4 linked regions of the Tamandua tetradactyla genome follow. The protein of the gene in region 3 purifies or fractionates together with the protein of the main gene of each other region. This does not show direct contact. Links are inferred from orthologs where the notes say so. Each region holds a gene or a part of one and is shown on either strand. Other genes may lie near its edges. The genes, in order: TOP2A, RPLP1, NPM1 and RPS20.

The links.
Region 1: the proteins of NPM1 (region 3) and TOP2A purify together in Homo sapiens (co-immunoprecipitation; 3 studies listed by BioGRID and IntAct, with this or other methods). This does not show direct contact. The link is inferred for Tamandua tetradactyla from reciprocal best matches to the Homo sapiens genes NPM1 and TOP2A.
Region 2: the proteins of NPM1 (region 3) and RPLP1 purify together in Homo sapiens (affinity purification with mass spectrometry; 3 studies listed by BioGRID and IntAct, with this or other methods). This does not show direct contact. The link is inferred for Tamandua tetradactyla from reciprocal best matches to the Homo sapiens genes NPM1 and RPLP1.
Region 4: the proteins of NPM1 (region 3) and RPS20 purify together in Homo sapiens (affinity purification with mass spectrometry; 3 studies listed by BioGRID and IntAct, with this or other methods). This does not show direct contact. The link is inferred for Tamandua tetradactyla from reciprocal best matches to the Homo sapiens genes NPM1 and RPS20.

The regions. Positions count from the first base shown.
Region 1 is NC_135332.1:26,942,008-26,948,884, forward strand, and holds the start of TOP2A (DNA topoisomerase 2-alpha), read left to right. Parts: upstream 1-3,857; 5' UTR 3,858-4,001; coding exon 4,002-4,022; intron 4,023-4,041; exon of another isoform or gene 4,042-4,183; intron 4,184-4,893; coding exon 4,894-5,049; intron 5,050-5,244; coding exon 5,245-5,335; intron 5,336-5,642; coding exon 5,643-5,706; intron 5,707-6,751; coding exon 6,752-6,877. UniProt on the Homo sapiens protein: Key decatenating enzyme that alters DNA topology by binding to two double-stranded DNA molecules, generating a double-stranded break in one of the strands, passing the intact strand through the broken strand, and religating the broken strand.
Region 2 is NC_135338.1:73,086,518-73,093,595, reverse strand, and holds RPLP1 (large ribosomal subunit protein P1), read left to right. Parts: upstream 1-4,508; 5' UTR 4,509-4,657; coding exon 4,658-4,729; intron 4,730-5,188; coding exon 5,189-5,263; intron 5,264-6,170; coding exon 6,171-6,288; intron 6,289-6,459; coding exon 6,460-6,539; 3' UTR 6,540-6,576; downstream 6,577-7,078. UniProt on the Homo sapiens protein: Plays an important role in the elongation step of protein synthesis.
Region 3 is NC_135346.1:52,611,387-52,618,953, reverse strand, and holds the start of NPM1 (nucleophosmin), read right to left. Parts: upstream 3,027-7,567; 5' UTR 2,905-3,026; coding exon 2,847-2,904; intron 840-2,846; coding exon 760-839; intron 202-759; coding exon 82-201; intron 1-81. UniProt on the Homo sapiens protein: Involved in diverse cellular processes such as ribosome biogenesis, centrosome duplication, protein chaperoning, histone assembly, cell proliferation, and regulation of tumor suppressors p53/TP53 and ARF.
Region 4 is NC_135332.1:99,698,371-99,704,382, reverse strand, and holds RPS20 (small ribosomal subunit protein uS10), read left to right. Parts: upstream 1-3,837; 5' UTR 3,838-3,977; coding exon 3,978-3,980; intron 3,981-4,164; coding exon 4,165-4,264; intron 4,265-4,432; exon of another isoform or gene 4,433-4,498; intron 4,499-4,569; coding exon 4,570-4,643; intron 4,644-5,280; coding exon 5,281-5,463; 3' UTR 5,464-5,500; downstream 5,501-6,012. UniProt on the Homo sapiens protein: Component of the small ribosomal subunit. The ribosome is a large ribonucleoprotein complex responsible for the synthesis of proteins in the cell.

The sequences.
Region 1 (6,877 bases), on a different chromosome or scaffold from region 3:
GCAGATACTTTTTTGGCCATTAGAATATGTTCTTTAGAGAAATATCTATTCAAATCCTTGGTCGTTTTTTTTAGTTCTTTAGTTGTAGGAGCTCTTTATATCTACCTATTCTTCTTCTTCTTTTTTTTTTTTTAATATGGAACGCTTCACGAATTTGCGTGTCATCCTTGAGCAGGGGCCATGCTAATCTTCTCTGTATCATTCCAATTTTAGTATATGTGCTGCCGAAGCGAGCACTCTACCTATTATTCTTCATCTCACTTTTTAAAAACTTAACAATAAATATATGGTGATATTTGAGTATCAGTACATCTGGATCTACTTCATTCTTTTTAATAACTGCATATCATTCCATAATTTGAACATTTCACTATTTAATCATTCCCCCATTGATAGGCACTTAGATTGCTGCCAGTTCTTTTCTATTAAAAACAATATTGAAATAACCTTGTGTATATATCTTTGCACAGTTATGGGAATGCATCAGTAGAGTAAATTCCGAGGAGTCAAATTGTCCTATCAAGGGTGTGTACATTTTAAATTTTTTGATAGATACAGCACTGCCGGACCAGAGGGAAACCTCCCAGTAGATTTTCTGGGACTGAACTCTAGTCCTGTGCTACTCCTCTCTCACAGTTTTGAATATCTTTTGCTCTCTTCCCAACTCCATCTGGTGGCCCACAATGTCCCCTTGCCTGGAGCCACAAATTTGAGGGGCAAGACTCACAGCTGCCATCAGCAGGTAAAAGATACTGAGTTCTATGGGACATTTCAGACTTTTCTCACCTCCTTCAACCAAAGACTGTTATCCCGAGTAAAGAGGTCAGACCGGAACCTGCCAGTCATCAACCTCAAGGTAAACAAAGCTTGTTGACCCAGCCTTAGCCACCCAAGTACCCTGGAGCTGGCCCAGCCTCATCCAGGAATTCCCAGTGGGCTCCAGCCTAGCCAAATCCATCTACCAAATCCAGAGCCACACTTTCAGTCCAGCCCCTCTGCTTTGTCAGCCAGCAAGTAGGAAGCACACTGCCCTTTCTGGGAGAGCAACTGGACCAAAGAAGGAGACACAACCCCTGCCTTCAAGGCATCCACTCTCCCAGCCACTGAAAGGGGAGACAGGAAACACCCACCACCCAGTTGAATAGTTGTAGGAGTATTACAACTCCTTGTTGTTATTTGTAGGTTGTTATTCTTAACAACCTAAGAATACTTACAAAGGGAATGCATCCGCATATGCAAATGTACTCCTAAAGACTTGAAGAAGTCTTGATAAAATAGAGAAAACTCCCTGGAGGGGAGATATTTTGAACTAGTTTTGGAGGAAGGGACACCTGGGACTGACAGGAGAGAGATGGTCTTTTGAGGTGATAACTGCTGACATATTTCGAGCTCTTACTGTCTGTCAGGCAATGCACTAAGCATTTTACATGTGTTATCTCACTCTATGAGGAGGTACTCTCATTATCCTCATTTTAGATGAAGAAATGAAGACACGGAGAATGGCTGAATGTCATACATTCATCAAGTACTGTAGTCAGGAGACCGACTCAAGTACTCCACCACACCCATAGGGCTAGAGGAGAAATGGGGGCTATGTCAGGGTAGCTAGTTTGGGTCCCAGCAGAGTATGGGGGAGGATATGAGGATGGTGCCTGTCCCCTCCCCTACCATCGCCTCCTAGAACTAACTCCCACCTAGAGCTGACTCCCACCGCCTTCTTGCTTTCTAGGGCCAAAAGGAAACCCCCTTTTTATGGGCAAGGCCTCCCAAGGCCTATACATCCCAGACTCCCATCTACTCTTTCAAGAGCTTCCTTGTAGGTTCTGGGAAAGGGGAGGGGCTGGCAGAGAAACAAATTTGGCCAGAAGAGAAGGGAAAGGGATGGAGAAGAGAGCAGCTCTGACCAGACTACACAATGCTTAAAAGCAGGAGGAGATTTGTCCTCGCTGTTTGCATTTCACTTGGCCCTCTGTACCATTGACGAAGGATAATAATATGGGGAAACTGAGGCCAAGGGAGAATTCTGACTCAGGTGTGTGTGACTCCAAAACCCTTTTTTATATTATCGTGGTAAAATATATATAAAATAAAATTTCCCATTGTGGCCATTTTTAAGTGTAACATTCAGTGTCATTAATTATATTCACAATGTTGTGCTACCATCATCAGTATGTTTCCAAAATTTTTATTACCCAAAACAGAAACACTGTATCCATTAAGCAATAATTCCAATTGCCCTTCCCCTGCCCCGAGTACTAGTAACCTCTAGTCAACTTTTTGTCCCTATGAATTTGCTTATTCTAGATATTTCACATAAATGGAACCATACAATATTGTCCTTTTGTGTCTGACATTTCAATTTGTATAACGTTTTCAGGGTCCATCATGCTCTTGCATGAATCAGAACTTCATTCCTTTTTATGGTTGAATAATATAATACTAGGACTCGGCAGAAGCCACTGTAGGGACTTCTCTCAATGGAAAAGCCAAAGGAATTTCATTCTTGCTTCATCCTACTTCCACCCTTGTTTCCTGACATATTATACATATTCCCCTCCTCACCAGTCTTCCCTTGGGCTTTGCCAGCAGTGGGCACAGGGCATGCTGGAGTTATTTCACAACCTCTGGTTTCCTATAGAAGAAAAGGGGAATTAAATCCACAAATTGCATTACCCGTCTAAGGAAAATTCCTGCTTTCTGATTCTGATATCCTTAGCCTCCTATTCTAAATGCCTCCGCTCATCTCATATAACCAATCTTCACAGAACTGAGGGAATACCATTATTATCGACAATTTTTAGTAGAGGAAACTGAAGCACCACAAAACTTGGCAAATTAAGGAGCCAGGACTGAAACCCATGCAGAATATAGGAGTAGTGATTGGGAAGGGGGTGTTTCAGAGAGAATTAGCAATCAAATTATGTTACTTTTTTCTATCATCTCCTTTTTCTTTTGTCTTCTTAACATTGTGGATTGACAAGTATAAATCCACTCGAACATTTATACCTCAGAGTAATAAACTAAAAAGATTGTCAATTTGGCGTTTCCTCACCAAACGTGAACAGTTATTCTGGATTGCAGAATTCAGAATTTAACACTGAAGAGAGCAAAAGGAACAAGTATTCAGGCATCCCCGGGCAGTCTGAGTGAAAAGATTTGAACATATCTCGCTGCAAAACTGGCAAAACCTTGAAGCGGCAACTATAAACTATTCCTTTTATCAGTTGCAGTCCATAGCTGCTGAATGTTATACTGTTTTGTATGACCTCTCTACATCCTACTATACGAAAACTAAAAACTACAGCTATATCACAAATCGTTTCTTTGGAAATAAATTCTTCGGGAAGGCAAGTTAGATAGGCGCCGGACCCTCTTCGCTTAGCCAACTCTCTAAGGCTGTGTCCTGAAAGCTGGCGCTCAGTTTCCTCAGGAAGGTGGAGCTGAAACTCCTATTCCTTTCACTAACTACCTCAGGAGGTTTTCAGATTGCAGAGACTAGAAATAGGTTAGTGGTTCCAGAGAAATAAATATCCTCTCTACCCTCTTCACTTTCTCCTGGCAGCTTGCACCTCAGGTTTTAACCCCTTGCCGCTTCCACAGGAACTCTCTTCAGTGTTTTCCTCACAGAAAGAACGACCCCAACTCACTGGCCACATCCCCCGTCTGTCTCCCCGCTTCTACGCCTAGTGGTGCCTTTCGAAAACGCTTTAGACCCGCCTCCTTTGCCTAATTGGTTCATTCGAACAGGCTCTGGCCAACTCGGCCGTTTATAGGTGGTTTAGATGTGGACAGAGGTGATTGGTTCTTCTGGACGGCGTCGGAGAAAGCGAGTCAGGGATTGGCTTATCTGGCTTAGGCGGGCTAGAGGAGGTTCAAAGGGGAGTAGGCGAGCGCGCGTAACCGACGGCTTCTGAAGAGAAGTGGCCTGGTCTCCGGTCGTTTCGCGGCTGACGCCCGTTTAGTCACGTTCAGGGTCCTCGAGCCCCTTCACGACTGTCACCATGGAGGTGTCACCATTGCAGGTACGGCTCGCGGAAGGGCCCGGGTCGTGGAGCCTCAGCGTATCGGGGCATCCCCCCGGCTGCCGGTGAGGGGTGAGGGCTCCTGGGCGCCCGCGCCGCTTCGGAACTCCTCCACGGGCTGAGGGCCCGTATTCCCTGGACTCTGGGTGATCGTGAATGAGGTGAAACCCCTTCTTGGTGCTAACATTGAAGTATTATCGGCTAGACTGCAGTCAGGGTGTTGGTTTTGTTTTACTGTCTCTAGGGGCGGGATTCAGTTCGTTCTGTGGTAAATCTGCGTTACGTGGGCTGTGTGTGGCTTTAGTAGCACATGCTTTCCCCTCCTCCCCTCTGGGAAGAGTGCGGTTGAATGTCGCTGATCTCGGAAAGTGCAGCGCCTGGCTCAGCGTTCCCGCTGGAGTTGCTGGCAGACCCGAGTTGCTCAAAAAATGACCTTCCTGTGCTCAAAACGTGAACGCGGCCAGATGATTCAGTTGATGTCATCTCTCACACTCTGCTGCTGCAGAGCTAGAATCTGTTTATGTGCTTGGAATATAGTAGGCACTTGGTAAATAATTGTGGACTAGATGGACAAAGTGGTGTTTTTATCGATACCATCTAGAGCCGTGATCAAGGAAAATGTTTTCATGTCAGATACACTTGGTGAGATAATATGTCTATTTAAAAATGACACTTGAGTGCTAAGCTGCAGTTTACCTTGTCATCTTTGTACAAAACTATGTACATTTCACCAATACCTACCAAAAGACTGCAATTTGTTATTGTGTTGTTTAAGCATATCATTATGGCAGACATTAGTTTCTGATACATCTATGATTTAAAAGCCCTTTTCTTTAAAAAAAAATGCTTTTCTTCTGTTTTTTTTTGCTAGCCTGTAAATGAAAATATGCAAATCAGCAAAATTAAAAAAAATGAAGATGCTAAGAAAAGACTGTCTGTTGAAAGAATCTATCAAAAGAAAACACAACTGGAACATATTTTGCTCCGCCCAGACACTTACATTGGCTCTGTGGAATTAGTGACCCAGGTAAAACATGCTAATTAAGTGCAATTACTTATCCGTTAAAATATGTACTTTTCCTCTTATGTTCCAGCATCGCTGGAACTGGCCTAAGTGATTACATATGTACTATAGTATTTAATCCAGAATACTTTATAGTAATCGTGATGATAAACAAGAATATAAAGTAAAAGTAACTATACTTCTTTGCCTTATTTCTAGCAAATGTGGGTTTTCGATGAAGATGTTGGCATTAACTTTAGGGAGGTCACTTTTGTTCCTGGTTTGTACAAAATCTTTGATGAGATTCTAGGTGAGTAAATTCTTTTCATATGAAGATCTACAGGTCAAACCCTTCATAAGAAGTATCATTCCTTACCAGATCCTCTGTAGCCAGAGGTTCTATCATTTCAAACAACAGTTGGTGACGGTGGGGTAGTCTCTGGAGTCCAGGAAACTGAGTTCTTTCCTAGAAGCAGTGCTTTGAACAAAAATTTTCTAAATGAAAAACCTTGTTAATGCTATTGCTGTGCTGTCTGGGAAATTTTTTTCCTAAATCTTTGAATTAATGTTCTAAAAAGTACTTCAATTTCTTACAAATATGTTGTTGTTTTTTTCAGTCAATGCTGCGGACAACAAGCAAAGGGATCCCAAGATGTCTTGTATTAGAGTCACAATTGACCCGTATGTCTTTTGCTTAGCCTTTTGTTCGTAATATCTTGTTGTTGTCGTTATTCTTAGCTACATTTACTTTGATATTAGTGAAGTTGACCTTTTTTTTTTTTTACGGAAGTTTACAAAACCTACAGAAACGCAAACCACTAAAATGAACAACCCTTATGGTACCTACTACATAGATCAAACGGTTACTGACATTTTGTCATATTTTTTCCATCTATAAATATTGTTTAATGAATTCAAAATAAATTTACTAACATTATGACACTTAAGCCCTAAATAACTTCAGCAAGCATCTCCAATCAAGAATTAGCCTAAAATATTTTGGCGTCTGGAATTTTTAGCATTTTCACATAATGCTATTCAAATAGTAAGCCAGCAGGTGGTGGTAGAGAATAATATAAGACTTTTTTTACGGTATTGTTAAATACTATTTCGAATTAGAACCATAATGTATGCCCAGTTATAGCTAAAATGTCTGAGAATTAACCTAAAATGATAACTAAGAGATAAGTTCAAATAAACTTGCAGCATTTTGTTCGTCAGCTGGACAGTTTATAATTGAGCATGTTTTTGCCTTTTGTATTTGCTTTGTGACAAACTTTTTTTTCCATTTGTGGGTGGGAAAGCTAAGAGAACTAGGGGAGTGCACATGATCCTCTCAAAAGCAGTAAAATGATAGTTTCCAGATTTTGTCTTTTTCTTTCCATTTGACATAAATCATTTCCCTCTGTTTATGCTAACATTTGAAAATTTCCTATTTTTCCAACATTATCAGTGTCTGCCCAGATGTTGGAAAATGTTGTTTTGTTATTGCTGTTATTATTATTGTTTTATCTTCCTCTTGGCATTATAGACACTCCTATTTCAGCATTGTGGGAAAGATAGTTCATGCAGAATTTCAGAAGGCATATATAAAAAAAGAGTCGAAAGAAATTTAGACTTGTGAATTTATATATTTTAGAAATAATATCAATATTTAAATATTTAAAATGTTACACATTAGTTTAACCTTTATTTTACAATAGAATTTTCAATCTTCTCTCCTTAGGGAAAACAACTTAATTAGTATATGGAATAACGGAAAAGGTATTCCTGTTGTTGAACACAAAGTCGAAAAGGTGTACGTCCCAGCTCTCATCTTTGGACAGCTCCTGACTTCTAGTAACTATGATGA
Region 2 (7,078 bases), on a different chromosome or scaffold from region 3:
CTGGTTTCTTCCTTTGACCTGTCTCTTATATCTTTGCTATGTAACTAGTTAGTTTTTTGCATATTGTTTTGTAGGACTTCTTTATATAATCCTTTGGGTATTTTGGGTCCTAAATTTTCTCCCAATTTGTGAGGTCTTTTCACTTTTTATAGTATTTTCTTTTTAAATAAACTTTTTAGAATCCATCAGAATTTACAGTAAAATTATGATGACAGTACAGATTTCCCATGCCCTATACCTAATTTCCCCATTACATCTTCTATTAGTATTAGTATGTTTAATTTTTCCAGTTAATGAACCAATATTAATGCATTCTTATTAAATTAAGTCCATACTTTATATTCAGATTTCCTTACTTCTTGTTTAATGACTTTTTCTGTTCCAATATACCAAATTACATTTAGTCTTAGGCTAAATGTAATTTCTCCTTCGGCTCCTCTTGGCTGGGACAATTTCTGAGACTTTGGTTTTGGTATCTTTTGTTTTACACTTTTAAATTTTGATGCAACTTTTATGTTTGTGTATGAAGAAATTTTTCCATACCCTAATGTCTTAATATTCTCCTCTATTTCTTCTAAAATTTGTTTTGCTTTCACATTATGTGTGCTGTGAGGGAGGAATTAAAGACATTTTTCTCACCAGCCCCCATTTGGATAGGAACCCAGTGCCATTTTTTTTTCTTTTGTATGCTATATGACAGGGATCACATTTCATTTTTTTCCCATGTGAGTATCCCCTTATTGCAGCACCATTTGCTGAATTTTTATTTGCTTTTTTCTTTGTTTATTTGTTTGGGAAGTGCATGGGTCAGGAATTGAACCCGGGTCTCCGGCATGGCAGGAGAGAATTCTACCATTGAGCAACCCTTGCACTGCCATCCCCTACCCTCACCCAGTACTATTCTTATTGAAAAGAGCATCCCTTCCTCTGGATTATATAACCATGTTCACAAATGTATCAGAGTATATTTTTAGGTTCTCTGTTCTATTTTTCTATTTGCATGATAACACTACACTGCATTATGTATTTTTTGGGTGCTTTCTATGTGCCAGGAACTATTAGGCACAAGGAATACAGTGGCAAACTAAAGTTGGTGCCCTCATGGAATCTAAAATCTGTTATTACTTTTAAAGTCAGGTTGTCAAATTCCATTAAAAATTCTAATGAAATTTTTGTGGAAATTACATAATTTAGATAGAATTGCCTGCTTTCAAGATATTGAATCTTCCCATCTGTGAACATGGCATATCGGTTTGTAATTCGGTTGCCTTTTATATTATTCCATAAAGTTTTATAATTAAAAACATAAGTCATGTACATATTGTTAGATTTATTCCTAGAAACCATGTAGTTTTTGTTTCTATTGTATGAGGTATATTTTTGAGAAAATATTGCATTTTCTAATACACTGTTGCTGAGGAAAGGAATGCTGATTTTTGTAGCTTAATATCAGCAACCTTGGCAAATTACTTATTACTTTGAATTGTTTATAAGTTCTGTTGGAATTTCTGGATAGATAATCATATCTATAAATAATGTGAGTTCATACCTTTCCAATTTTAATTTCTTTGTGGAGTAGCTAACATCTCTAAAATAGGAATTGAATAGAAGCAGAGAAAGGAGACATTCTTGTCTGCTACTCATTTTAAGAGAATGCTTCTCAAATTTCATTATTAGGTATGATATTTGCTGTTGATTTTTGGTAGATAGCCTTTATCAGGATATGGAGGGTGACTTCTATGCCAGTTTTCTAAGAGTATTTGAACAGTGGTTCAAATTTTATCAGGGGTTTGGTCTTTCTGAATCTATTAAGACTTTCATATAGATTTTCCTCTTTAAATCTGGTAATGTAATGAACAATTTTTAGTAGTTTTATAGATGAACTATCCTGTTTAGTTGTAATATATATTTTTATATACATTTCTGGATTCAGTTTATTAATATTTTATTTTCAACGTTTTTGTCTACATTTTGCATTTAGGTATAATTTTTATCTTTCTCATTGTTTAAGGTTCTTTTGTTACTATGGCTATAAAATTAAGGGAACAAAATATTAATTTGATCTAAAAATTTTCTTCATATAGTTTAGACAATTTTAAAAAAATCTGTGTTGAACAGTTTTATCTGCTTGATCAGTTTTTAAGTATAATGGTGGGGGAATAATGTTTTGGACTGATTTGTTCTGGCTTTGTAAATGACTGGACTTTTCAATAGCTTTACCTTTCTCCACCAAAACACCACAATAATTCCTTCCTAGATTTGGGTGAAAACTCAAAATGATAGCTTATTTTGAAAAGCCTTATAGCTTTTAAAACTATTTTAAATAAGCGATATTAAAATCTGTTTACATTTATGTCTAAGATTGGCCCAAGTGGGAGGCCAAGGTAGGGGATTCCGATGAAAATTTTGGTCATGGATGATTATGAGATAATAGCACTAATTGAATAAAGCAGATTCCCTAAAAAATTTGACCCATTTTTCCATGAAACTAGGTAAATTCCAAGAGGAAACTAGTCTATGAAATGTGAAGATTACCATTTTTGAAGATAGGAGTTAAAATTGGGTTTCAGACCTTACCATCAGAGAATCTCTTGATACTGTGTCAAACTTTAGGGACACCCAAATCAATAGGCCATGCCCTCAATCCTATATCTTACTTAGGATACTTAATCCATAAGCTTACTCGTGAATCTTATGTAGGTAGCAGAGAAGCTTAGACTACCTATAGGCATGCCTAAGAATTACTTCTGGAGGACCTCTTTTGTTGCTCAGATGTGGCCTCACTCTCTCTAAGCCCAACTCTGCTTGTGAAATCACTGCCCTCCCTCCTACATAGGACATGACATCCAAGGGTGAAAGTCTCCCTGGCAATGTGGGAGATGACTCCCAGGGATGAATCTGGCCCTGGCTCCTTGGGATCAACAATTCCATCCTGACCAAAAGGGGGAAAACAAGTGTAATAAAGCATCAGTGGCAAAGAGAGTTCAAATAGAGTTCAGAGACTACTCTGGAGGTTGCTCTTATGCAAGCTTCAGTTAGACTTTGCTACCTATCATAACCTGCCAACCCCCAACCAGGACCATTCCAACAGATTCTAAAGAACACCTAGGGCTATATATAAGATTTCACAAGGGTTCCATGCACTAGAGAAACTTTCAAGAAACTTACAACCTCTAGATAGGTCCCAGTCCAGATATGTCCTGAAACATAGAGGGCCCAGCCTCTCCAGAACATCAGATAGTTCCATCTCCCTACCTCATATTAGTGGCAGACCTTTCCAATATGAAAAAGCTAGACTAGCCATAGCTCAAGCACCCTGAAAGAGAGGGACAGAAAGATCGGGGATGGTGGAGTTATACAGGGAAGATAGCATTTAACAAATGAATATGAATGCTGAATCATTAAACTGATATCTCTTTTAGTCTCCAGTATCTCAGACAGCTAGAAGTAAAAACCTAAAATTGTGGAATTGTAACATAACCCATGTCAAACTCTGAAACATATTCTACAACTAATTGTGGTGCTGTGCTTTGAAATTTATTGTTTTGTATGTATGTTATTTTTCACATACAAAAATGAATTAAAGTCAATTGTGATGATAAAATATTTAAGCCTTCTAGCCTCCTATATATTCTGGAGCAGCTAGAAGGAAAAATCTGAGTGGAAAAATCGTATGATAGCCCATGACAAACTCTGGAATCTGTCCTGTAACTACTTGTTGAAGAGTGCTTTGAAAACTATTGCTTTTTCATTTCTTTGCTTTGTATATATGTTATACTATACTAATAAAAATGTTTAAAAAATTAGGTTTCGGATCATATAGTAAATAATGCATGCCAGTTGTCGAATATTTGAAATACCAAAACAGAGAAGACAAAATTTATCTACAATTCTCAAAACCCAGCCAGTCCTCACCAACACACTGAAATTAGGCTTCTAGATTCTAAACCCAACCTCCATAGCGCAGTAACTGATCTTGGGCTGGTTACCTGGACCGTGCCTTCGCAAAACGGAAGAAATAGAAACCACACGACTCCTTCAACAGTATGGTTCACTTGCCTGGGACATTGTAGGCGCTCAACTGCTACTGCCAGGACAACGCTCAGTTTCTCCTCTATTTACTTATATTGGAGGCACTGCGCTAAGCATGGGGGCCCTAAATTGTAACTGTAGTTCCTGCCCTCTGAGAGGTCACCGCCTGCTACCGGAGGCTGGAGGCGTAAATATTATTTAGTGTCATAAGGTATACATACAATGGAGGTGAAATCCATTTACCTAGGTAACCTTCTCCTAAAAATATTTTTAATGTTCAAGAGCTGTTTTTTTTTTCTCCTCCACCAAAATCAACGGACACAGCTTTCCTATGCGCTTAGCAACTTTCGGAAATCGCAACGAAGTGTTAATAGTAGCGCGCAGGCGCCGTAAGCCCGTCTTCCGCCGCGGCACTTGCCTCGCCTCTTCCGCCAGACGCCGGCGCCGATTGGCCCGCGTGTTACGTATAAGATGCTGTGCGCAGGCGCGGGGCTCTCTTTCCTCAGCTGCCGTCAAGGTGCTCGGTTCTTCCGAGGAAGCTAAGGCCGCGTTGGGGTGAGGCCCTCACTTCATCCGGCGACTAGCACCGCGCCCGGCAGCCGTCTACCCAGCACCCGTCCGCATCATGGCCTCTGTCTCCGAGCTCGCGTGCATCTACTCGGCACTCATACTCCACGACGATGAAGTTACAGTCACGGTGAGTGCGGGCGCAGGTCAGCGGCGTGTGCGGCCTGTCCACTGCCCAACCCGCTCGCCGCCCTCGAGTCCTCCAGCGGGTCGGGCCTGGCTCTTCCGGCCACAGCCGCAGTGGTGGACAGCCCAGGCGTTTTCGGACCGGGGCGGAAGCCCCTCGGGTGGGCCCAGAAGCTGGGAGCTGTGGACTGCAGACCACGTGTCGACGGCCGGAGGGTTGCGCCTGCGGTTGTCTTTGGCTGTGAAAACCTTGATAAATGTATCCTTAGAGCGTGAGCATCCCAGTCCGTACCTTATTTTATGATTGAGTATGCCTTCATGAAATGCAGATAAAGATATTTAACTGGGTAAATGGCTTTGTACGCACGTTTTGAGTGACTTGCTTTTAATTTGCAGTATTTTGGAGACATTCAGGTAAGCTACACTTTTCCTCTTTGATGGATTGGCATTTTATTTGTTTTAGGAGGATAAGATCAATGCCCTCATTAAAGCCGCTGGTGTAAACGTTGAGCCTTTTTGGCCTGGCTTATTTGCAAAGGTAAGGTGATTTGTGGCAGACTTGGGAAGACGTGTCTGCTAGCTTATCCGGGGGAGTGTTCACACTTAAGGTGCCTCGTATTTCACTGCATTTATGTTTGGATGATGTTAAGGCTTCAGTTTGTTAGGCTTTGTGTGGCTTCAATATAAGCCTGATCTAATGGAAATTGAGTCCGATGATTTTATGTTGACCACTTGCTGTATCTTGGGGATGTGAAAATGAAGTCAGGGCCCCTGCCAACGAAATTTTGGCATTGGCTACCAGCCATCGTACCGGTTACTTAATATGTGGCAAATGAAGCTATTAATAGCTTTAACATGTTAGGTTGTAGCTTCTGAAGGGCTTCGAAAATTTGAAAATATTATCTATGTTATTAATGAATTCCTTTGGAAAAAAATCCTAGATTTTTTGGAAAGTGTGGGATCAAATTTAGTGTTGATGTCGAAAACAAAAACCAATTTTTAAGAAATCAGAAAAGGTGGATTCTGAAACTACCATCAAGTTTTTGGGAGGACCAGTTTCCTCATTTATAGAGGGTATTCAATTAGTTGGACATTACTACTTAAATCAACAACATAAATGTGAGCTCTGAATCTGGATAGTTTTGTGACTACTTTTTTACTTTTTATTTTTAAGAGATAAAACTCTTAATTGCGGCAGTCCTCAACTTTCTAACCCACACCCCCACTCTTTCCCATTATTTAAAATATATTATTATAGACTGTCCTATCTAATGAGTCCTAAGTTATTGCCAGTGAAGTCAGTCTTGATGAAAAAGCAAACCAAAAGTTTGATGTCACTGGCATGGGGGTGACTCCAACAGAGGAAAAGTGTTGGGAACTGAACATATCAGGGCTGGCTGAGAGGAACAACTGAGCATTTACCTGTGTCTGCACATGTGTTGCAGGCCCTGGCCAATGTCAACATCGGGAGTCTCATTTGCAATGTTGGGGCTGGTGGACCTGCACCAGCAGCAGGTGCTGCGCCAGCCGGAGGTCCTGCTCCCTCCACCGCTGCTGCTCCAGGTAGGAAACTTAAGTTTTTGTATGGAAGGAAATTAAAGTTCTATAGGTGGACGGTGTATGAAACGCTAAACCTGAGGCATGGTTGGGTGGTGCTGAGGGAATTCTAGTGGTTATTTTTGGCCAAAATAATGAGAGATGTGATTTTTACACTTCTCACTTTTTTTTTTTTAGCTGAGGAGAAGAAAGTGGAAGCAAAGAAAGAAGAATCTGAGGAATCTGATGATGACATGGGTTTTGGTCTTTTTGACTAAGTCCCTTTTGTAATGTTCAATAAAATGTTGAACCCTTTGCTGCTGTTGGTCTTGCCAGTAGTTTGGGGATTTGGTCTACATAGGTGGTCAGTCTTAACTTTTTTTGCAAGTGTATTTCAACCTTTTCTATTCTAATGCCCTGGCACATGAGGTGGATTTTTTCCCTTCCACCACTCCAGGTAGGAAGTCTTAAATAACCTGGACACTTAATGTGCCTAATAATAACCTTGAGGACTACTCTAGGGGTGGGGGAGGATGGATCAGTGCTGCCTTACCCAAACTAACTGTAAATTTGTGATTACAGAATTTATTCCCTGGTCTGTGCCTAAACAGTGTTCTCTTTTATTTAATGTACCTTATTGCTAATTATAAAGCTGCTCCCCATCCCACCATCACTCCAGGAAGAATACAGGAGAAACCAGCCATTCCTGTAATCTATAGTCGCTGCCTGGACATCCTTGGTATTCCTTGATGGTGGGGTAAAGACAGTACATTTAGAAAGCACCATGAATAATTTCCACGTACAGCCCTAAGAACTT
Region 3 (7,567 bases):
ATAAAACACCCCCTTTTCCCCATCTTCTTGATTTAAACCTCATTATACTACTTCAACACAGTATGATTTAAGTGCTCTTACCGTTGGCTGTACGGACATTTTCAAAGTTGCCAGTGTTACTTTAATTGGACTGCCTTCATAATTCATTGCCTCTGCTTCAACAATGTGCAATTCATCCTTTGCACCAGCCCCTAAACTGACCTGTGAACAAAAAATAGTCCCTCATCCTCAAGCTTCCGCTATTTTACAATCTGCCCCCAAATGTGTAAAGTTTTTAAAAAACTATAAACCTTTCATTATCACCATTGATGGAAAACTAATCTTCAATTTATGCACAATTTAAGTGTTACAGTTTTCGTGTGCACAAGTTCTCATATTCAGCGAATTTGAAGAAATGCATAAACATGGCATGGATAGCTTAACAAATACAGTAGAGCACCTACTACAAATTGAATGCTAGGTTGGTCTCAGTGAGGAATAAATGATTATAACTGACAAGAGGGCTTTATAACACAACTGATGAAGCAAAGTATATAAATAAGGAAAGCTAAAAAGTGATGTGACTATATGAAGAGTGGTAAAGATGCCCAGTACTGTCTGTATCACAGGTGTATATATTATCCAGTACTTATAACAACTAATCATAAAGATGCTGTTATCAGCAGTCAGGAAAACAGTGAAAGTCATAAGCCAGATAAACAGGATCCAAAAGGGTGAAATCAAGAAAGGTTAAGTAGTTTATTTTGAAATTTTAAGTACCGTTCTTAAAGATAACTGGTGCTCATTTTCATCATTATCCACCTTAAAGTGATAATCTTTGTCAGCCTTTAATTCACAACCTGTAATGAAGAAAAAAGTAACCAACATGAGCGAAAACTGAAACTGAAATTACCTTTACCATTTTGATAACTTGCAAACTTGTTTTTCACTTTACTATTCTAGCTTCCAGAGAGCAAGACAAAATGATCTCTTCTCAGATTTTTTGAATACAGAATTCTATAAACGTCAAATAAAATCCATACAGGGCTTTATAAATTCTACTTTTCCATTTCCCCAACTCATTCTCCACTACATGAGACAGGCACTATAACCATTCTGCTGCTAGAACTCAGCTCAAAGATTTACTTAACCATTATGAGGCCAAACTTAATGTACAAAGTTGATAATCTCCCACTATTTTAAAGTTATATTATCTGTCTAAACTGCCCCCCAAAAGCAGCAAATTAGAAATGGGGGAGAAGCCTACTCAAACACCAACAAACAAACCTTGTTACAAGGGCCTTCCGATTACCTTTAAGTTAACAGAAGGTGTTGTACATTAGTAATTCAGTAATCACTTCTAAAGCACAAGATATACTCCAGTGGTGTTTCCAATAAAAGGAACAAATATTTTTATATAAACTGGTTAGCAACTTAGAAGTAATGCCTTAACGTGCTGAATGTCTAAAATGCTAGATACATTTCATATAGGAATGGGAAAATTGTTTTAATACTGTCATAACAGAGTTAATTCAAATAATTCTATTTAATAAGCACTGTAACAGTTAACCGGATGTGCATGCTTGAATATTATTGCCCAATAAATAAGTCTTAGAACAGCAAATAAAGAAATCAAATTTGGGGCGATATTTGCACTTACTCCAAGGTTAAAAACCCTGGATATGGCCTGACTGCCCACAAGGAAAAGCTTTCAGTTAATAAGCCTCCTGAGACTGAAAACCAAAGCAGGCCTCTCCTTCAGTACTTACATATGGTGGGAGGCAAAAGCGGGCTGAGTAGGGTTATCCCTTGCCAGAGGGCTGCCTCCGCCATCCCCAACCCACCAAAGACAAAAGAAAACAAAAAAAGCCTCGTTACCCTATTTACACAGCACCGACAGAGCAACAAAGTCTCGGATAGGCTCTAGCATCCATTTCCTACAAGTAAATTCTTAAGCCACTTAACTTCTGAACATCAGTATCGTCATCTGCAAAATGGGGCTAAGACCATTAACGCAGTGACACAGAAAAAAGCCCTATAGAAGATTACTACCACTACTGTATGTGCAAAGAACTGCACAAAGATCTCCAGAACCCTAGCGCTACCAATCACTTCACCTAACGTTTCCCGCCCAACAACTCCAATTAAGCCACAACAAGATCCCTGGCTCCGGGTTGACATACACTAGGAGGCCCCGGATGTATAGCCCGCGCCTCCTCCTTCCCCCAACCACGTGGCAACCACGTGCTGCCAGCGGTTGCGGCCTCCTCTCATCCCGCTGTGCCTCCCCTCCCCCTTACAACCGGCCAAGAGACCAAGACCGAGAGTCAGTAATACAGCCCTGGACGCTGAGATCCGGAAACCTGGCGAAGCCTCTAACTCCAGCCTATAGCTATTCTCTTCTGCAGAAAAATAGGCTCAGGCCTCCCCAAGAGCCCACACGACCTTCTGGACCAATACCTGGGGATCCAGCAGCAAACATACTGGCCTAGAATCAAAGACATACCAACTCCCACGTGTCTCGACAAAGAAAAAGCCGGAGCTCTACCGCATACCAAGGCAAAGCCAAACCTTCACCCGGTTCTACCTCGCCCTCACGCACTAGGCCTCAGGCCCCAGGCTTCAGGCCGCTCCCATTCCCCCACTTCCTGCCGCAGGCTTTCCCAAGCTCCGGCATCGGCCTTCCTCGCTCCCCATCCCTCAGGTTCCTGGGCTCCCACTGCGCCCCTCCCTCCCTCGGGCCTCCAGCACGCTTAGCTTCCTCCACCAGCCCAAGCCTCAGTAAGATCTCCATTACCCATTCTCCCCACCCCCACCTCAAAGCCACCAGGCCCTGCTCGACCTCGCTCCAAACCTCCAGCAGTTACCGAAAAGATAGTTCTGGGGCCTCAGGGGGCTCATGTCCATGTCCATCGAATCTTCCATGGGGTGGTGGCAAGCACTTAAACAGGTGAGAAGACGGACGGAGATAGACAACCACTGTTGCAAAGAACAGTCGCGCAGGACGGACTCACACCAGGGAAAGGACGCGCGCTCCCCCGCGCATTTATATAGATCCCTGTATATCTCGCGAGATCCTCCAAGTCCCGCCTCCGCGCGCGTGCTTGGGAGCCCCCTCCTTTTGCAGTCGACCTCCCGCGCAAGCGCTCTTTATCCCATCTTCTTTTTACCTCACCCCTACCTCCTCCAGGTACTTCGCGGGCTTCCACCGAGCACGCGCACTCTTACCCTGGCCCCACCCTTCCGTCGCCCTCTTCTGTGCGCACGCGTTTCCCTTGCCGGGCGCCTCCACCTCCAACCCGTCCACGTCCGCTCCGCTAGTCGCACGGGTCGCACGCCCAGATCCTACGCAGCCCACCCTGCAAAATGGCGACGGCAGCCCCCAGAGCTCTTTTAGGTAGGAGGTTGATCCTGTTTGTAAGTGTTCAGAGAGCCGCTCGGTTTTCCTTTCTTCGTCCCCTCGTGCCCCGGAGGTCTCCAAACAGGCACGCTCCAGGATTTTTTACTTGCCTGAAGGCCTGAGTTCGGAGTTCATTGTTTCCCCAAAGTTAGAAAAGCTAAAGCTGCCAGAGACAGAGTGAACTACAACTTTTCTGTTGCATTGCGCTGGGAAGAAAAGAATTAGCTACTAGCCGAACTTAACTCACTTACGTCTTTATAGTTGTCCTTTCGCTTCTGGGGCCAAATGGGACTGTCATCCCTCTCCACCGCGCAGGGCAAGGGACCATACGTGCCTGATTTTTTTCAAAGAAGCTTTTTAAAGGACTGTGTATGCACAGTATGTCCATACAAGGCCTTGTGAAGTATATGTGACTGTCCCCATTATGCACACCAGAATACGGGCCGAGAGGTATGAAATAACTTGCCAAACGGAGAAAGTGAGACAGGGAACTAATTGATTCTCTAGCTCCAGGGCAACCCAATGAATGCTACATCATTCTTAAAAAGCTTTTGAGGATCCACCCTGAGATAATGCAGTTCTTAATCTTCAGCATGCCTCTAGAGCGAAGGCGTATGACTTATACGACTGCGTAAACTTTAATTAGAATCTTTGAGAATGAGCTTGAAAATAAGCATCTTACACAACACCTTGACAAGTTAGGGTCCCCTAGTTTAATTTTTACCTCACCAGATCAAACAATAAATTTAGGAAATACTGTGGGAACTGAAAATAGTGATATTGATGCCCCCACTCCCTTTTCTACAAATATAATCTAGTTAGGAAGGTCAGCTATAATATAAATAAACCAATTATTAATGAACAGAATCCAGATCCTAAATTTAGAGAATCCTTATGCAAAAAGACAAATCAGATAAGACCAATATGTGGAAGGGGCCAAGTTGTTCCCCACTTTACCCCCAATCCTAACAAGAGTCTTTGTTCTTGGATCTTTTGAGATGCAGAATATGGCCTAATTGCTAGAGAAAATACTGAAACTTGAAAGAATATGTATGTAAAGGACTAGGAAAGGTAGAGAAACAGGAGGATCAGATTGAGGAGAGTTCATTTAGAATGAAAAAGTGAAGATGAGCTATAAGAGAGTGAAGGAGGAGGTGTTACTGTTTTTTGATCCACTCGAATAAAGGTTGAAATTACTTTGCAATTTCTTTCTGATTTCAGGGTCATTATCATTTTAATGCAAACTTGTACAGAGCCTGAACCAGGTAGGAGCTGTGGCTCATGAAAATAAATACATTTGTTGTTTCTAATGTTTTAGGCATCTAGTCTGGATATGATCTCATGGAGTTAAGCAGTTAGAAAACCCACTTACTGCATTTTTCAGATTTACAAATGTAATAATGCTCATTGTCTTTTAAAATAGAGTGGTATAGGCCTGTACAAAGTGAAAAATTACAAGTGGCTCTCTTTCCATCTTAGAATAACCACTGTTAATTGTGTGAGTATCCTTCCAGCTAACTTTATATGTTTTAGAGAGGGAGAGAAAGAAGGAGGGGGCAGACTATATAGTTACATTTTGTTTGTTTCTTTCTGAAATTCTGGGTAATTCACATCTTATTCAACTTTCTATAGTCAAAAATATATTTTGGACATTTATCCACATTAGTTCATAATATGGCTGTGTTATAATTTAACTGTCCATTCCTCCACTGAGGGGCATTGAGTTTGTCTCCATAATTTTGCTCTAAAAAATAATGTCTTAGTAAAAATCTTTATGTATATATCATTATGGATATCTAAAAATACTTGTGTAGAATATATGCTAAAAAAGAACTTACGGTAGAAAGGCAGGTATTACTTATGAACATATGTACATATAAATACATCTTTTTATTGTTGACATGAATAGATTCACACTTCATGTATTTGTATATTGTTCTGCAACTTTGTCCCTTCACTTCGTGTGGCTTAGCTATCTTTCCATTATATAATAGAGTCCAACTGTATTATTTTTTTATGAGTTTCATAGTATTCCATAGGATGAACATACGTCCTATTTTTAAAATTCCAGGTTTTATTTATTCCTTCATTTTTAACACATTTATGATGGAAATATTCAAATACATAAAAACAGAAATAATGCTATGGTAAAAATCCATTTACCCATCATCTAACTTCAACATACAGAATCTTGTTTCACATATACCTTCTCCTTCCCCTTCCACCTCCATCGGCCTCTTTAAAGAAAGTCCAAGACATTTATCAGTTCATCTAGAAATATCTCAGTACCTTTCTTTGAGAGATAAGAACAATCTTTAAAATCTGAACATAATACCATTGTGATTCAAATAAAAATTTTAACTAATTCCTAACATTATGAATTACCTAGTTTAAATGTCCACAATTGTCTTTTCCAGTTTGTTTGAATAAGGATCCAAGCAAGATCTATACATTATACTGAGATGTTTCCTTTAACATGTCCCGTTATCCCTGAATTTTCTGAAAGTTAGTAGGTAGATCTTGAGCTGCACTGTCTGATGCTGTAGCCACTAATTACATGTGGCTATTTAAATTTAACATAATTCACATCCTACCTCCTCACTGTCCTCATTCTCCTCGTAGAATGGCTATTATTATTTTTTAAATGGAAAATAATAAGTGCTGTCGAGGAGACAGAAAAATAGAAACCCTTGTACATGGTTGGTTAGAATGTAAGATGGTGCAGCCAGTGTAGGAAACAGTTTTGCAGTTCCTCAAAAAAAACAGAGCTACTATATGACCCAGCAATCCCACTTCTAGTTATATACCCCAAAGAATTGAAAGCAAGAACTCAGATAAACGTTCACCAATGGTTATAGCAGAGTTATTCAGAATAGCCAGGAGGTAGGAGCAACCCATGTGTCCATTCCCAGATGGATGGATAAACAAAATGGGGTATACATAAACAATGGAATATTACTCAGCCTTAGAAAGGAATGAAGTTCTGATAAAATAACACTACATGTATGAACCTTAAAAACATCATGTTTAGTGGAGTAAGTCAGACACGGAGGAATAGATATTTTAAGATTCTACTTATGTGAAATAGCTGGAGTATGAATAGAGATAGAAAGTAGAGTACCTGTGAGAGGAAGAGTGGGGAGTTACTGCGTATGGGTGCAGGGTTTCTGTTTGGAGTGATGAGAGAATTCTGGTAATAGATGATGGTGAGGGTAGCACAACGTTGTTTATGTGATTAATTCCACTGAATGATATACTTGGAAGTTGTTGGGATAGGAAAGTTTATGTACGTTTGTTTCCATAATTTTAAATAAAGGGCAACTAAAGAGATGATGACGATTAAATGCAATACATAAGCCAGGACTGGATTTAATAGTGGAGGAGAAAAGTCCCAAAAAAACAGTACGAGGACCTATTAAAAAAAAAAGTTGGAATTGGAATATAAACTGTAATTTTATATCAGTGTTAAAGTTCTTGAACTTGATAACTGTACTTAAGGTGGTTACATGTGAATGTCCTTGTTCTTAGGAAATGCGCGTGGAAGTCTTATGTGTTCAAGGAGCATGGTGTATGCAAATTACTCTCACGTGTTTGGAAAATTTGGTAGCTGGATAGACAGACTGCTACAGCAGGTGTGGCAAATGTTAAAATTGGAGGTCTGGGTATCAGTGGGGGTGGAGTGTTGGAGTTCTCTATATGGATTTTGTAAAACTCTTGCAAGTTTAAATTATTTCAAAATAAGTTTAAGGGGAAAAAAATTCAATTCCTCAGTCTCGCTAGCCAAGTATTCAATAGCCACATGTGGATCATGACTATGGTATTGGATAGCACACCAAAACATTTCCATCATCACAGAAAGTTCTACTAGGCGGTGCTGATCTAGAGGCTTCTAGACTTATTGGCAAGAATACTTCCTGTTGCATTAGGAGACACGTATTGTCTGGTGTGTCTCTGTTTTGTAATGTTAAGTTCAATCAGGTGGTGTTGACCTGATTCTTCCTTTATCAACTCACCATTCACCACTCATCTTTCAGTTAAGAGTTTTAGTGGATTGTTGCTTCAATCCATTATTTCTAATTCTGTCACTCCCTCTGCATTTATTATCTGAAATTCTTTTATGAAGGTTGTCAACTAATTGGTTACCCTGAAAACAGTAGGCAGGAAAATCGTTGTCTTTCCCCTTACCTT
Region 4 (6,012 bases), on a different chromosome or scaffold from region 3:
ATGGATGGATGGATGGACAGATAGATGGATGGATAGAGAGAGGTAGGTGATAGATAGATAGATGATAGATAGATAGATAGATGATAGATAGATAGATAGATAATAGAAAGAATGATCAGGCAGAATGTTAAAAGGTGATGGATCTGAGTATCTAGGGAGACGGCATATGTTGGAATTCTCTGTATGGGTTTTATGCTATTATTGCAACTGTCTTGTACATTTGAAATTATTTCAAAATAAACATTTTTTAAAAATAGGGATTCTACCTTATAATGGATATATATAGTATCTACTTTATAATGGACACATAGTCAATAACAAAATATTTCTGATTTCAACTAAATTGAAATATGTAAAGCTTTCCTATGTCAGGGTGTATAACAAAATGATTTTACATCTGCTCCTACAGTGCCACTACAAATGACAAGGCTCAGTGCCACATATACTGAAAGAGAGGTTAGCACTTGGTTAGGAGTGCAGACGTTAGATTGTGAGCACTCAAATCCTGGCTTTTCCTGTGACCATGGGCCAGTTACCTAACCTTTCAGGGCCTCAGCTTCCTCAGAAATAAAATATGAATAATGGTCCTTATCTCCCAAGGTTAACGTGCAGATCAAAAGAATTGATATTAATACAAGTGGAGCACTTCACACTGTATCAGCCATTACTTTATGAAGAGACCTGTTCTGTTCTAAAAACTTATACATGTAATCCTCGGAAACAGGAAGTAATTTCCTTCATATTCCACTCCCTTATCAAATATAACATAGAAGAGTAACTAGAAGAGAAAGTTTTAACTCGCTCTGGTTACATTCTTAAATTCCAGGCTAAAGAGATTTAACATTAAAAAGAATACTTTATTTAGATAAAAAATTTTGCAAATAGAATGTTATCTAAACTTCTCTGCCACATTCATTTGACAATTTACCTTTACTGTTTTATTCATAAATATATATATATATATTTGTACTATGAATTAAGTAGTCTCTAATGCTGCATGTTTACTTCTGGTATTAGTTGGATGACACTGTTATTGCAGCAAAAAACCAGTAGATGGCTGTCCACAGATTCACACAAATACTTTCAGCTGCAATGACAGTAAAAGATCATTTTAAAAACTACAAAACTTAGTAGAGAAAGGCAATGGACAGGGATGTTGAAAACACAAATTTTGTAACTGTCACGATATTTTAAAATTCTGAAATGAAACAGATAGGTAGTTCTATTTTTTTTCAAGCTAAAACTTGTTTTATGCTGCTGGAGGAAGTCCCTATTTTGGTACAACCTTCCCAGAGGGCAACTTAATTGAACATACCAAAATATTTAATACATGCCTGTTCTTTGATTAAAGCATCTGAAAAGAAGAACATCTAGAATGAGCTAAGGCATTAAGGATGTGCCAAAAGGTTCACCTACAATCGTGGTTCTCAGCTGGGGTGGGGTGATTTCTCCCCAGACATTTGGCAAGATCTGGAAATACTTTTGTTTGTATAACTTGGGAGCAGGGTAGGTAGGATGCTTCTGACATGTAGTGAGCAGAAGCCAGGAATGCTGCTAAGCATCCTAAAACGTACAGGACGGCCCCCACAGCAAGAATTATCTGCTCAAAAACAGCAATAGTGTTGCAAGTGAAAAACCTGATGTACCTTATACAACCTCATGGTATAATTTATAGAAAAGAAAAATGGGCAAACAAACCTCAGTGTCTAAAATTACAGGACTGGTCCAATAAATGAATGAAACAGCTATACATGTCACAATTAGGCAGTCATTAAAAGGGATGTTGCAAATGTGTATTTATTGTGACCAAATAATATTCTGAGAATAAAGCAGGTTACCATACCGTACAGAGTATAAGCCTTTTTTGATTTTTAAAGAGATTTATACATACCTGAAAGTGTAAACAGTGGTTATCTCTGGATGGGTGGAATTGAGTATTTTCTTCCTTTTTGCTTATTGTTAAGCAAAACCTTTTTCTCCAATGAACATCTCAAATCCAAAATCAGAATAATACATTTTAAATGGACATTTTCGAGTCACAGCAGCTCCTAGCTTCCAAGAGAAAATACAACAAAATATTTTAAACTAAAATTTGTAAACTTTAAAATTAATGACCTTTTCATTAAGTTTGTCTAATATTATCTTAACCAGCTATTTCCTTAATTCCAACCACATCAGCAATTTCTTTTACCACACATGCTGGATCATATTTTACCTTTTTTCTATGGCCATAGGACGATAACATGATTACCATTTCCTCAAGGATTTAAAGAGTGAGGCAGGCCAAAGAACAGACCTAGATCTACTAGATTTGTTATTGGAAAAAAAAAAAATCACAAATGTACTTCCAATCCTGTCTCCCGTCCCCCAACACACACACTTCTCTGAATTTCTGATTGTCCTTTGAGGCTTAAATAAAACCAGAAAGTTGCTTTATGCTTTCTCTGCAGTTGTCCATTCACCTTCAGTACTAACATAAGTTCCTTGGTGGCTGACCACATTTAGGGAGCTAGGCAAATGTATTTTTACCTTTTGGTTGCAGATAGCCACACCAATAAATTAAAACTAAGTTATTATGTCTCATCTTAGTTTCAGCAAGTAAAACAAGAATGCAGGTTTCTATTTTCCGCTGCATATTCTTCTAATAGAGTATACAGTCCATGGGTTACATTTCAAGATAACTGAACTGAAAAATATCCCATCATTAACATTTAAATTTATTGCAAAATGGCAGCAAAACCGAATGTATTTTCCTTGTGAGATAAAGCTATTAGTCATGCCTAATTATCTCTTCATAAGTAAGCCAATGCTATTCCTTGTTTGAAATTTCAAGCATAATCTCTCAAAGGAACAGAACTTCCGGAAGAGGGAGAGGGAGAGGGGCGTCAGAGCTTTGTCACACCGCAGCTCTTTATGTTTGAATCACAGAACTCTTCTGTGCTTACCTGTAAAATAATATGGGGTTATTTATTCTCCCATTAGCTCTGGACCAAATCCCATCTCGCCGATCCCGTTCTCTTGAACCACCCCTGTTTCTCAAATATAAGTGTGCTCATTAGGAGCTAGGTTGACCATTGTTGGCTTTTCCACTGTATCTGTCCCTATTTGATTATAAACACACGCTCAATGTTAAGCAGATTTTAAAGGCTCCTAAATAATATTACTTTATCCGAACAGAGAGGAAATACCATTAGAATCAGGCGGACAGCCTGGATCTGCGGGCTGGACCTCCAGATATACAGCCCGCTGTCGGAGCAGCCTGACAGGTGCACTCTCACCTGCCCGGGAATAGGTGTAGATACTTCTACCGGCGTGGAAAGCCAGAAGCTGAAATTCCACGATAAGTTATTTCAGGCTATGCAAATATCCCCGACTAATCTTAATAGTAACATGCCAAGTTATCGGTCGATTTTCCCAATACCCACGTGAATTCAATGCAGTAGTTACCCACTTGCTCAGATAACAGTGATTCTGTATGCGAAGCAAAATTTGCACTGCAAAACCCACAGGGAGCTTCTCAACTTTAAGGGGCTGGGGTAGGGGAGCACCAGCCAGAGCTGTTTCTGCGGCGTCAGGGCAGGTTGCCCTCCAGCCTGTCACCTCCGCTAGGCGCCCGAGCGGCTCGCACCACTGAGACTGCGCAGACCAGCACATGCGTTCTGCTTGTCCCTCGCCTCGAGGCACCGACTCCGCCTGTAAGACAGGGGGCGCGCGCGGCCGCACCTTTCCCGCCAACTCCGCGGGGCGGCCTCTAGAGCCCTCGGGGCAGTTCCTGTTCCGGGGCAGGCGCCGGAGAGGCATGTGGGACCCGGATGCAGACGCGTGCGCCGCTATATAAGCATCGCGCAGGCCTCGCGCATCCTTTTCGAAGAAAGCGCGGTCTGTGCGTTCCAGGCGTTTCGGCTCTCTGCTCCTCCTGACTCACCGCTGTTCGCTCTCGCGGAGGAACAAGTCGGTCAGGAAGCCGCGCCGCAGCCATGGTGAGTGCTGGGACTACTCATCTACTCTGGGGCAGATGCTATGGGAGGTTGATGGAGGGGCTTCCGCAAAGGGGTTTGTCGCGGTGGTAGAGGAACCTGGCTGGGAAGGCTCGTGAAGCCTATTTCTAGAATTTAGAAATCTCGGGAGTGCTTAATATTTTCTTATCACCCATGTAATTGACAGGCTTTTAAGGACACCGGAAAGACACCTGTGGAACCCGAGGTGGCGATTCATCGCATTAGAATCACCCTGACCAGCCGCAACGTGAAGTCTCTGGAGAAGGGTTAGTGCGGTGGTTCAGGCTGAGGCTTTTGCAAGCTGAGAGCAGTGCGTCTGTCAGTTTGCTGTGTGAGGTTGATTCCGAGAGGTACAGCCGCAAGTGCTTACAGTAGTTCAAGCTATTTGTCGGCCTGTGTTTTATATAATGCCATAACTTTGTTACATTTAAAGTTGGCCGTGAGGAGAAATCTACGTTTTGAATTATGGTGATAGTTATGTACGCTATTCTGAGCCAGCATCCTCAAAATTGTTTCAATATATTTTAATTGTGCCGAATGGACTTACAGGTAACTTTTTATATCCCCATAGTGTGTGCTGACTTGATAAGAGGTGCAAAGGAAAAAAACCTCAAGGTGAAGGGACCTGTTCGGATGCCTACCAAGGTAAACTACAGCATGGGGGCAGGAAGTAGGAGTTGACTTCTATTGCCTATGTCCAAATTCTTCTCTTTAATATTTGGCTCCCCAAAACACAAGCCAAGTAAAGAATGCTGGTAATTTGGTTCGTATTAAGTACATAATGTTTAGAGATGACTTGCTGTTTTTTTATAGTGGTGTGGTGTTTAAAAGGTGTAGAGAGTTATGTCCTAGAGGAGTGAAAATGGACTTACTATTACAAATTGATGGTACCTGAAGACCTGTTTACATAGAAGAATGTGGTACCTAGGGAATTTTCTCAAATGAAATACCTGAGGATTTTTTTTTTTTTTTTTTTTTTTTTTTTTTTTTTTTAGAGAGGGAGGAAGGGAAGGAAAGACAGAGAAGGAAGGAAGGATGGAAGGGAGGAAGAAAGGGAAACATCTTAAACATTTTCTTATTTTTTATTATATATTTTTGTTTGTTTGTTTTTTTACATGGGCTGGGGCCGGGAATCGAACCGGGGTCCTCCGGCATGGCAGGCAAGCACTCTTGCCCGCTGAGCCACCGCGGCCCGCCCATACCTGAGGATTTTAATGCAGTAATTATACAGATATCCTGTGTATAGATATGTAACCACAAATGCTGTTTTTCTTGTTTACAGACTCTAAGAATCACTACAAGGAAAACTCCTTGTGGTGAAGGTTCAAAGACTTGGGACCGTTTCCAGATGAGAATCCACAAGCGACTCATTGATTTGCACAGTCCTTCTGAGATTGTTAAGCAGATTACTTCTATCAGTATTGAACCAGGAGTAGAAGTTGAAGTCACCATTGCAGATGCTTAAGTCAGCTATTTTTAATAAACTGTTTGTCAGTTGCTAAGCTTGTTGAGTTTTATTCAAAATACCAACAGATTTAGGAATATACAGATGGGCTGTGAAATGTAGTCAACTTTTCAAGAAGTAGCCATCCTGTGGCGCGTTACTATGTTTATTGTATTTCCTAAAGGCCATTAAACCATTTTATTAATAACTTTTGATCAAATTATATGAGACAGCAGAAAATTATTTAGTATGTAAGGCCTTATCATAATGCATTGGTTCTTCAAGTATTTTGTGTATGATCCTTGGAAATGCTGCTTCATATACACAGGTCTCTTCCACCTCAAAAAGAGATTGTTAGCTTTATCACTGAAAAAACATGTCCTAAGACCACAGTTTACCTTAATGAATTTATTGGATACGATGGTGTAGGTTAACCTGGCCCAAAGCCTGTTCTTTAGCGTAGTTGTGATTTAAACAGGTTTGGCAGCCTGAGAACCATTGTTCCCCTTCGGGGTTTTTCAAATTTTCGTTTGAAATGTGAGGTAACACTCGACAAATGTGTGCCGGTGC